3 linked regions of the Lepisosteus oculatus genome follow. The main gene of each other region encodes a partner of the protein of the gene in region 3 in a complex. Links are inferred from orthologs where the notes say so. Each region holds a gene or a part of one and is shown on either strand. Other genes may lie near its edges. The genes, in order: taf1b, polr1f and polr1h.

Region 1 (3,753 bases), on a different chromosome or scaffold from region 3:
ATGCTGGCTTTGTTAATGCTGTGCGCTTTATCTTGCGGGAATCTGTAGACTTTCCGATTCTGTTTTGGTGCTGCTCTGTAGTAGGAGCAGACGAAAGAGGAACATCGGCTTCCTGCTCTGCTCGCGCCCCAGGTCCAGCGGCTCTCCGCGCCCAGAGCCTCCCCCAGTCCGTGACGTGGAGCCCGGTACCTTGAACTGTGGGTCCACGCCCATCTCCAGGAGAGCGCTGGCTTGCTTCTGCAGGATAAACTGGAAGGCCTCACACACCATCCATTCCCGGCCTCGCTCTGAAATAACCGCCCGGGGGGGGGGGGGGGAGACAAATATTGCAAATATTGAGCAGTGAAGAAGGGGGATGTAGTGTATTAGAGAAGTGTAGAGAGCCAAGCAGTTCAGGTCAGTCCCACATCCAGAGCTGCCCACTCAGAATGACTTCAGAAGAGCTGCAACATGACATGCGAACCTAGCAATATTTCACAATAATTAAGCTCAGCAAATCAGAAGCCTTTTGTTTTCACAGATATGGAAATCCTTTGACGTATTTGGTTATTTTACCTCCTCGATTGAAAAGAAATTCTCAATTGCAATGGAGACAGCCTGGAGACCTGTGTATACAGCAGGAGATTCACAGCAGAAATCTGAGTGAAGTCTCTCTCTCTCTCTCAAGGGCAACAGCAGCAGCAGCCCAGCAGCCCACAAATGAAAATTTACTGAAGCTCAGCGGGTGTGAGCCTGGTTGGTACCTGGATGGGAGACTCCTGGGAAAACTTAGGTTGCTGCTGTTAGTGGGGCCAGTAGGGGGCGCTCACCCTGAGGTCTGCGTGGGTCCTAATGCCCCAATATAGTAATGGGGACACTATACGGTAGAACAGGTACCACCCTTTGGATGAGATGTAAAACCGTGGTCCTGACTCTGGTCATTAAAAATTCCAGGATGTTTCTCGAAAAGAGTAGGGGCTTTACCCCAGCATCCTGGCCAAATTCCTTTCTGGCTTGTTTTTCCATTTTTAGATTTTGAACTGTCATTTTCTATACCCAGCCCATAGTATTTTAACAGAGCAAAAAGGAGAGATCTGCCGTCACAACCGGTACTGATACATGATGAAGCTTTGCAGGTTCCCAGTTGCTGCAGACAACACTCTAGTACGTGAAGTCAGCATCCATCACTTCCCATAAACACAGGTCACGGCTCTCAGGTGAAAACCCACATATGAGAACAACTTCAAATTCCGGATGCAAAATGAATAAAATATTGAGTATCCAGAGAAAGAGCTTTGGAACCGCAGCACGTCTTCAAAACTGACATCCAAACCTCTCCTAAGAGCAAAGACTAACTAACCTAGTTTTTTCTTCTGCCGTAGACTTTGAGAAATAGAGGAGATTCTTGAGCTGGAACCACAAAAGACGTCCTCAGGGTCCAATTCTTTGGTTCTCTGTTACAACAAGAACAGTTGTGAGAATTTAAGCATTTGGGAGATAGACAGTCAGACACAAAGGGGCTATATAGTATATGGATTCTAGTCTAGGTTTTTTACTGTGGGTCTGTGAAAGGAAACATAAAAAAACACAGGGCAGCAGCAGCAACAACACATTAAATAACATACAACTTACAAAAAGTAACAAGTAAAGGTTTATTCCATGTTGAAAAGAGAAAAAAATAGACAACGCCCCGAAGAAGGCTCCCCAGCGTGAAACGTTGTTTCCTTTCTTCTCTTTTCAGCAGGGAATAAGCCTTTACTTGTTCCTAATAATCTAACAGGTCTGCCTCACCTCGATGACGTTCTGGCAGGACCTACAGTAGAACTTGCCCTCATCCGTCAGCCCCCAGTCCACCTCGGAGCACACCAGGCACGGCTCCCGGTAGTCCTTCTGCAAGAGGCAGCACCGCACAAGACATACAGTACAGAAACACGGAGGAAGGCGACGCAGGCACACTTATTCTGTGTCGCTTCCACCAAACTCTTCTTAATGTCACTCCTGGAATCACCAGTGATCCCCAGTAGCATGGGTACATTTTGCCCAAAAAACAGATTACGATTTGTTTTTTTGAGACATGTATGTATGTTAAATGAACTGTATAGTGTTCTTTAAAGCGTTTTTTTTTCTTTTCTACAATATATAAAATAATGTTATTTTTATTTTAGCATATCGTTAATCGGTTCCCCGGTAAGGGTTGAAGGTTTTGATTGGAAAATAGCTATCAACCCATGGTTTGTCTGACCTGTCTCATAGACCAGATTTTTCTTCTCTCCGTTTTCGCATTGGGAGAGTTTTTAAGCGTTATTTAAAATACGACCAAACGCAATTGAAGTGTTTTTTCATCAGCTTAAGTGGAAAACGTTTACTTGCTATAATACAACGTCAAAGACAGTTTGGCAGTACAATCGCCCTTGACTATACCTCGCAAAAGCAAAGTCAGTACCGTAACATCATTTTAAATCAGTAAATAACTTACAGTATGTTCATCATCCATGAGGTATTAAAAGGTATATACAGTCCACATTCTTCAATGTTTGTAACTACTACAAACATGCGGTACTTCCGGTGTAACACTTAAATGCTGTCGTGTTGCAACCGTGAGCGTCTGTAACAAGGCGTATGCAAAATGCACACATACGTTAGTTATTGATTGGGGCTGTGTATTTATCTGTGTTTCGTTTTGCTATATGATATATAGAGAAAGTCAGATAATCTTTTTAAGTTTAAGAATGTATATGAATATTTTAGGGTTTTTGTAGGCGAATGAATCTTTAGCGGTAGCGACCTAGTTTCAGATGATTTCGTTTTATTAAGTTTAGCATCAGATTTTTCAGTTAGCTACCATCACATGACCTTCACTTCACTATCGTGATTCAGATTGCAAGTGTAAAAACGCCAGTAAGAGGATTAAGCGAATTTAGCTGAAAGTTATGTTGCAGATTCAATGGTAGTATCTGTGTAAAAATGGTGTTTTAAAGGGCTGGAGAAAATTATGAGCTGTATTTCTATTCTAAGATTCCGATTAAAACCTTAGAACCCATTGGGGCAGCTTTCCTGTATAGTACTTTAATGACTGCAGAGATTTGTGGTGCAGAGATCCTAACCTGGAAATAACCTGCAGATATCTACCTACCGTACAACATCTGAACAGCATAAGAGCAGCTGAGATAATAGAAAACACCATTGCCTGAAATCATGCGTATCGTGTTGCACATTTTATCAGTTGTGGGAATGGGTCACGGCTTCAGTTCGAAAACAGAAACGCTATGATGATATTAGACTACTAAATGAGTCGCTAATCTTTTCAGACCACTTCTAATGAACAACTGGCCCATAATCTCCACATACACAGTCTGTCACAGTCGTTAGCTGACCTTTGAGTAGGGAGCTGTGTCAGCATGTGCTGGCTGTAAACTAAGACGTAAAGGTTCATTCCATGCAGAAATGTAAAAAAAAAAAGAGAAACACAACGTTTTGGCCATGGGGCCTCTTTCAGTGTGAGGAAACTGGCATTTTTGTTTGGTACCTTGGGAATTAGACAACTGCAGGGAATGGGGATGATATTCTGAAACATCTGACACAAGGTATTTCCTCGTCTCTGATAAATGACAGGATTCATGCTTCATGACAGGGGAGATGTCTCCATATACTGTATCAAAGACAGCAATGATGAATAATGAAAAGGTTCCTCAGGCTTGTGCAAATATAGACAGCAATGATGAATAATGAAAAGGTTGCTCGGGCTTTTGCAAATGGGGAAGACATTTAAAAGGG
Region 2 (3,753 bases), on a different chromosome or scaffold from region 3:
CAGTCAGCGGACATACGTACCACAAGTTTTTGTCCTTTTTTAGGCTGGAAGATAACGAAGGACGCTTCTATGTTCATATGGATATATCCTTGATCATCATAGATATGTCCATGTTCTCCCACAACTTTAATGTTGTCATAGGCGAGAGGAACACCTTTTAAACTAGAAGGAACACAAAACACAGATGCACAACATTGCTGTAAAGAGACACTGCTTCAGAATATCCATCCAGGCTCTAAGAGTAAGCAGTAGAATGCAGCAGTTTAAAAGATGTGTTCCTACTATTTCACTAAGTGATCAGACGTTTAGCACTCTCAGGAAAAGATGGAAGGAAACCACTGACACTCATTAACTTCATGTGTTTTTGGTACCAATAATATCTTCAAACAGCTCAATGCTAACACTCCAGTCTTTTTATTTTTGTTCTTAAGTCATTTCCAGCCAAACCACTGACAAAAACAAGCATCTTACTACTTCAAGCAGGTAGCTGCATCAGCATGCGTAGGCTACAAAGGTTGCGTTTCCTTTCTTTTCAGCAAGGAATAAACCCATTACCTGTTTCTTTGCATCTTACTATTGTTATACATCTTACAACAGAACAATGAAATAAATTATAAAAAGCACTATAAACTGTTATGAATTGAAATCACAGCAAAATGTCTCTTGGGATCAGTTATATCTACATCAGAAGGTACATGTTTAAAACCACAATACAGAGGTCCGTGACTTGGTTGTTTGAGTACTTAATAATAATAATAATTGCTTACACTTATATAGAGCTTTTCTGGACACTCCACTCAAAGCACTTTACAGGTAACCACCACCAATGTGCAGCCCCACCTGGATGATGTGACGGCAGCCATTGTGCGCCAGAACGCTCACCACACATCAGATATCAGTGAGGAGGAGAGCAGAGTGATGAAGCCAGTTCATAGATGGGGATTATTAGGAGGCCATGATTGGTAAGGGCCAATGGGAAATTTGGCCAGGATGCCGGGGTTACACCCCTACTCTTTTCAAGAAACGCCCTGGGATTTTTAATGACCACAGAGAGTCAGGACCTCGGTTTTACATCTCATCCAAAGGACGGCACCTTTTTACAGCATAGTGTCCCCGTCACTATACTGGGGCATTAGGACCAACATGGATCTCAGGGTGAGCGCCCCCTGCTGGCCCCACTAACACCTTTTCCAGCAACAGTCTCAGTTTTTCCCAGGAGGTCTCTCATCCAGGTACTGACCAGGCTCACACCTGCTGAGCTCCAGTGGGCTGCCAGTTGTGAGTTGCAGAGTGATATGGCTGCTGGCTTTTAATTAATTAAATTGCATCAAGGTGACGGCGACACTATACTGTAAAACAGGCACCTTCTTTCAGATGAGACGTAAAACCAAGGTCCTGACTCTTTGTGGTCAGGAAAAATCCCAGGGCATTTCTCGAAAAGAGTAGGGGTGTAAACCCGGCATCCTGGCCAAATTTCCCATTTGCCCTTACTAATCATGGCCTCCTAATAATCCCCATCTCTGAATTGGCTTCATCACTCTGCTCTCCTCCCCACTGAGAGCTGGTGTGTGGGGAGCAGACTGGCGCATCATCCAGGTGGGGCTGCACACTGGTAGTGGTGGAGGGGATCCCCATTACCTGTAAAGCAATTCGAGTGTAAACACAATATAAGTGTAAGCAATTATTATTACTATTATTATTATAAATAATTACACAAACTGCATTGAATTCAGAGCTCAAACGTCACTAAAGGCAGAAGGCACTGACCAGGCCCTCCAGGAAGTGAGTCTGAGACCATGCTCTACTGCCTAAGTTGCAGATTCATTTAAGTCCAAATGTTCCGCCGTCACATTTACCCAGAAAGTGAACTGTTAATGCATGTAGGGAGTTATACTTGTTATATATACAGTACACATGCTCGATGTATCCATGCTGTAACTGTTCACGTCCAGCTTACCCGTTCTACCACACACCGATATATCACCGATAGTGACCATCCCCAGGCTGAGAGTTTCCTACCTTTCTGAATATTTCAGAAGTTCCGTGTTAAGCTGATCCTGGATTCCCGTCCTTTTCTTACTTAGATACATCGGGGCAAGAGCGATGTGCCTCCGGTGAGTGTCCACAACCAGGCAAGAGTAAGGCGCGTCTACCAGGTTACAGGCATCGGAAAAGGCCGGAATCAGACACTGTACGACCGGCTTCTGCTCCAAAGTCGGACCTTCTGGCGCAGGCGGTGGACTGGAGCTGGACACCGGAGGAAAAATCTTTTTTACCTTTTCGGAGTCGTCCTGCTCCGCGGCCGCCATGCTGCCAGCTGCCGTAAAGTAGTTTTCCCCACAGCTCTCAACGTGGTGTCGTGCCAAACGTCACGGGTTTTGGGGGGGAGGAGATGAGGGGCAAGTATTTAATGATCAGTTGCAGTGATGTCCCCACCTGCTGGCCTGGTGGAGGCTGTGCCGTTTCAGTCGGGTGGGTTTGCGTTTTCTTCTTGCATGTTGCAGATGAACGAGAATTCAGAAAAGTGACAGGAAACACAAACCCTGCCACAGCTCCAGGTTTTTCGTTGTTTAAAAAAAAAAAAGAAAATCCTTGTAAAGAAGCCCTCTTAATGGTTAGAAAAATGAAATGTTGGTTTTGAATTTATAAGAGTATTTTAAGAATATATTCGGGGTTTTAGGCTTTTAAAAATATTGAAATAACCCTTATTTACCAATTGTTTCAACCGTGTTACGTGCTTAAACATTCCATCACAAAGCAAGCATTAAAAACTCAAATGTTAAACATTTGAACAAGTCAGGAAACACCAAATTATACAAAATTATAAAGTATTATACAGCTGCGCTCTCTGAAGGGTTGCAGACAACATTTCAAATATCACAACTTCAATAATCCCATTGAACAATCTAATTCAGCAATACGTTTCAGGCAAAATACAGATTAATCTTTAAATTTCCATCTTTCATCACACACAACACAGTCCCCACCCAAAACTCACTGAAAAATGTGGATTTCATGGTGTTTCTGCATCTAGTCTTGCTTAACATCAAAGGCACCGTGGACACTATGAGCTGCTTTTATTTCTCTCTATGAAATTGTATTATATGTTATATATCTCTTGATGTAAGGAATGAGAACAGTGACACCGTGATATTACTGAATGTTAAGTTAACAAATGACCAGTTATCAACTGAGAGAAACTGAATGGTCAATTCAACAGGACGTTCCTCCAGATAGGATCGTGACAGATTGTGCCAACCAGCCTTTTGAATTTCTGCTCTTGTAACACTGAGCCCAAAAACCAGTTCAAAGAAAATTAAGTTTACCAGCACCTGAGGTGATGGGCTATTGAACAGTATTGATTGATACTAATGTACTGTATAAAAGGTGTCTGTTTCCACACAGTGGGTCAAAGGTCAGGTGAGAACAAAGTAAATGCTGGTCAAAGGCAAAGGTATTAAGGAGATAGATGGCTGTTACTCTCAGAGCAGGAACATGAGGCCTGTACCTGCGGGGCCTGTCTCCAAGCTCATATCCTGCTCTAAACAGCTGAAGGTAATAGAAGCACAAAACAAAGCGCATTACAGAACATGGCACATGCAATTAGCTTCTTCAAATTCCCCAGTAACAGAAGTCTTTTGTTGTACAAAATCAAAGAAAAAAATTGCATGGAAGAGGATATGGGTTTCTTCTTTGAAGATAATATGCTTATTTTCTGTTATGAACTCATTCTCTTTAAATTTTAACCTCATG
Region 3 (3,753 bases):
ACCAGGACACAGGTCAGGGGCCAGTGACCAGTGACCCCAGGTCAGAGATCAGGGATCAGTGACCCCAGGACACAGGTCAAGGATCAGCCACACCAGGACACAGGTCAGGGGCCAGTGACCATTGACCCCAGGTCAGAGGTCAGGGACCAGCGACCCCAGGACACTCACCACAGGGCCCTTCAGCTCTCCCTCCTCCTCGGACATCATGGCGGTGCTGCTGGACTCCAGGCTGTTGAAGACGACCGACGAGGTGACCACCTGGTCAGCGAGCTCTGCAGCACAGAGGGGGAGAGAGGGCACTCCTGAGGGACTGAGCCCTGCACACTCCTGGGGCAAATCCCCTCTCACACAGGTGGAGCAGGGGTCAGTGTGCCTGGTCCAGTCAGTCCAGGGGTCTGTGTCCCTGGTCCAGTCAGTCCAGGGGACAGTGTCCCTGGTCCAGTCAGTCCAGGGGTCTGTGACTCTGGTCCAGTCAGTCCAGGGGTCTGTGTCCCTGGTCCAGTCGGTCCAGGGGTCTGTGTCCTCTGGTCCAGTCTGTCCAGGGGTCTGTGTCCCTGGTCCAGTCAGTCCAGGGGACAGTGTCCCTGGTCCAGTCAGTCCAGGGGTCTGTGACTCTGGTCCAGTCAGTCCAGGGGTCAGTGTCCCCGGTCCAGTCAGTCCAGGGGTCAGTCGGTCCAGGGGTCTGTGTCCCTGGTCCAGTCGGTCCAGGGGTCTGTAACTCTGGTCCAGTCAGTCCAGGGGTCTGTGTCCCCGGTCCAGTCAGTCCAGGGGCCTGTGACCTCTGGTCCAGTCAGTCCAGGGGTCTGTGACTCTGGTCCAGTCAGTCCGGGGGTCTGTGACCTCTGGTCCAGTCAGTCCGGGGGTCTGTGACCTCTGGTCCAGTCAGTCCAGGGGTCTGTGACCTCTGGTCCAGTCAGTCCAGGGGTCTGTGTCTCTGGTCCAGTCAGTCCAGGGGTCTGTGTCCCCGGTCCAGTCAGTCCGGGGGTCTGTGTCCCCGGTCCAGTCAGTCCGGGGGTCTGTGACTCTGGTCCAGTCAGTCCGGGGGTCTGTGACCTCTGGTCCAGTCAGTCCAGGGGTCTGTGTCTCTGGTCCAGTCAGTCCAGGGGTCAGTGTCCCCAGTCCAGTCAGTCCAGGGGGTCTGTGACCTCTGGTCCAGTCAGTCCAGGGGTCTGTGACTCTGGTCCAGTCAGTCCAGGGGTCTGGTAAGGTTAGTTGGTGCCAAACAGCGCCACCCACAGGGAAACGCAATCCATCAATCAATCAATCGATCAATCAATCAATCAATCAATCAATTGCTCTGAGCCACTGACCGCTCACGCCGATGTCGTAGCCGCAGCGCCGGCAGCTCACCACGTCCTCCACGCCGGGGACGGGCAGCACGGTGCCGCACTCCGGGCAGAACAGCGGGTCGCCGTGGAAACAGGAGCCGGGCAGGGCGTCTGCTGACATTGCTGCGGAGGGGAACCGATCAATTCGGGGCGACCGGCGCGCACCGCCACGACCCCGTTCTCGAAACCCAGACTAAATTCCACTATCAGAGAACAACCTGGCCTCTTTAAAATTTACAACCAGACTGTGGTCACTGAGCCTGTCCTCTCTGGACAGCTGGGTTTGCCTGTGTCCAGTGTGTGTGTCCAGGCTGTGGTCACTCTGAGCCTGTCCTCTCTGGACAGCCAGGTCTGCCTGTGTCCAGTGTGTGTGTCCAGGCTGTGGTCACTCTGAGCCTGTCCTCTCTGGACAGCCAGGTCTGTCTGTGTCCAGTGTCTGTGTCCAGGCTGTGGTCACTCTGAGCCTGTCCTCTCTGAACAGCCGGGTCTGCCTGTGTCCAGTGTCTGTATCCAGGCTGTGGGCACTGAGCCTGTCCTCTCTGGACAGCCAGGTCTGCCTGTATCCAGTGTCTGTGTCCAGGCTGTGGTCACTCTGAGCCTGTCCTCTCTGAACAGCCAGGTCTGCCTGTGTCCAGTGTGTGTATCCAGGCTGTGGTCACTGAGCCTGTCCTCTCTGGACAGCCAGGTCTGCCTGTGACCAGTGTCTGTGTCCAGGCTGTGGTCACTGATCCTGTAGGTCGTCAGACCCGGTCTCTTACTCGCTATTTGTAGGCGCCGTTCCAACTTGGTCTTTAAGAACAACCATCCGCCGAGTTAAGAGTCCTTGTAACCGTCCCAGATAACGCCTATTCCGCATTATATCAGGGGGTCCCTACCGTGATCGGAGGTCAGTCGCGGGTAGCTGTCGCCCTCACCTCGCTGTTGCGCCGAGACACGTGTCGTCCGCAGAACACAAACACAGTCGAGAGCTCTTCCTGGCTGCGGACTGCTGGGGCGCATGACGTCAGCCCGGCAACGGAAGTGACGTTCAATGCGCGCCGGCATTTAAAAAACACTTTTTGTCTTTGTTTTGTTATTCTATAGTGTCCGTATCTAAGTGCTTTTTATAGTAATACGAACTATATAAGAACATTTATGCATGAATCTATTAATAGTCTGGGTAGAAATCAGAAACAAAATTATCTGAGGCTTCTCCCTCCGTCAATGTTTTTGTATGGTGAAAGCGAAACATTATTTCCATTAAAAACCCGGAAAAACACACCTCACGTCTGTAAAGATGTTCACTGATTGTGTGCTAGGTTATAATCACCTCTGGCCGCGTGCCGTTCTGTGTCTGTGCGTTTTTATTTGTGAACACCCTTTCTGTTTTGTTTGGAAAAAAAAAAACAAATAAAAGGTTGTGAGGGGAAAAAGACGGGAGTCCTGCGCGTAGTGCATCATGGGAAAACGGGAGGGAGGGGGACGGTGGGTCGCGGCGCCGGCGCACCCGAGTGACGTCACCAAACGCCCCGAAGTCGTTGCTGCGAGAGACGGAGAAACCATTCGAAGGTAAACGCGTTTTATTTCACGGTTAAAAACCACCACCCGCCCCCTCCTCTCAACGCGCCGTTTGCGGGTTTTTTTCTCCTCATAAACCGCTTTCTTCCGCCTCTTCTCCGTGCTGGTCGGCGTGACTCCTCTCTCGAAGGGAATTTTTGTTTTTCGCGTGAGGGCGGTTTGCTGGGTGGCGCGACTGGGCCCGTCTTTTTGAAAGAACAAAAAAAAAAACCCGCACTGGGCCATTGTAGTTTTACACACACACACACAAAAAAAACCTCGAACAGACGGGAAAAAATCGGATTTCCTAACGCCCCTACACCCACTCGGGGTGCCCGCGGTCCGGTCCGGTCCGGTCCGGAGACACGGCTTGAGCCCGTCCCGTGAGCTTTCGCGTGTCCGTGGGAGTGGGAGTTGGGGGGGTGATCCCCCGTGTAGCCCCGATCTCGCTCACGTCCGGCGCGGTTTTACATCCGCTAGTTTAAAAAAAAAAAACACGGATCTGGAAATTGTCAGTCGTGCTGCTCGATCGGTCGAAAGGGACCGACGGGCTGGTTGTTGTCGGAGCCCGTTTGTCCCGGGACAAGATGTCCCCTCCACAGCACGGTGAGGTTGGCGGTACTATTGTACAGATCTTCGTGCGTGTGTGACCGCAAAAACACCGCCTTCAGTGGGACTGCTGGATTCAGAGACTGCAGGTCCTGAACGAGTGCGGATCCACGTCTGCATTTAAAAGATCATATGTTCTCGTCTAAATGAGTAACAGGGTGGCGAGACACTCTGTTAAGGTTCCTTGTTCCGCCACGCACAGCTGTGAACACTCCTGTGTGAAAAATGGCAGTCTGTTCCTGTGGGGATCACTAACCAGACGTGTTTAGGGAACTGCTGT

Evidence for each region.
Region 1: polr1h (region 3) and taf1b share a complex: the UniProt entries of both Homo sapiens proteins name them as parts of the pol I pre-initiation complex. The link is inferred for Lepisosteus oculatus from reciprocal best matches to the Homo sapiens genes POLR1H and TAF1B.
Region 2: polr1h (region 3) and polr1f share a complex: the UniProt entries of both Homo sapiens proteins name them as parts of the RNA polymerase I (Pol I) complex. The link is inferred for Lepisosteus oculatus from reciprocal best matches to the Homo sapiens genes POLR1H and POLR1F.

What each region holds. Positions count from the first base shown.
Region 1 is NC_090697.1:11,859,693-11,863,445, forward strand, and holds the start of taf1b (TATA box-binding protein-associated factor RNA polymerase I subunit B), read right to left. Parts: upstream 2,563-3,753; 5' UTR 2,474-2,562; coding exon 2,456-2,473; intron 1,870-2,455; coding exon 1,771-1,869; intron 1,434-1,770; coding exon 1,340-1,433; intron 288-1,339; coding exon 190-287; intron 1-189. UniProt on the Homo sapiens protein: Component of RNA polymerase I core factor complex that acts as a GTF2B/TFIIB-like factor and plays a key role in multiple steps during transcription initiation such as pre-initiation complex (PIC) assembly and postpolymerase recruitment events in polymerase I (Pol I) transcription.
Region 2 is NC_090705.1:1,841,240-1,844,992, reverse strand, and holds the start of polr1f (DNA-directed RNA polymerase I subunit RPA43), read right to left. Parts: upstream 2,358-3,753; 5' UTR 2,310-2,357; coding exon 2,020-2,309; intron 163-2,019; coding exon 21-162; intron 1-20. UniProt on the Homo sapiens protein: Component of RNA polymerase I (Pol I), a DNA-dependent RNA polymerase which synthesizes ribosomal RNA precursors using the four ribonucleoside triphosphates as substrates.
Region 3 is NC_090709.1:41,007,933-41,011,685, forward strand, and holds the start of polr1h (DNA-directed RNA polymerase I subunit RPA12), read right to left. Parts: upstream 2,483-3,753; 5' UTR 2,373-2,482; coding exon 2,204-2,372; intron 1,452-2,203; coding exon 1,311-1,451; intron 273-1,310; coding exon 169-272; intron 1-168. UniProt on the Homo sapiens protein: Core component of RNA polymerase I (Pol I), a DNA-dependent RNA polymerase which synthesizes ribosomal RNA precursors using the four ribonucleoside triphosphates as substrates. Can mediate Pol I proofreading of the nascent RNA transcript.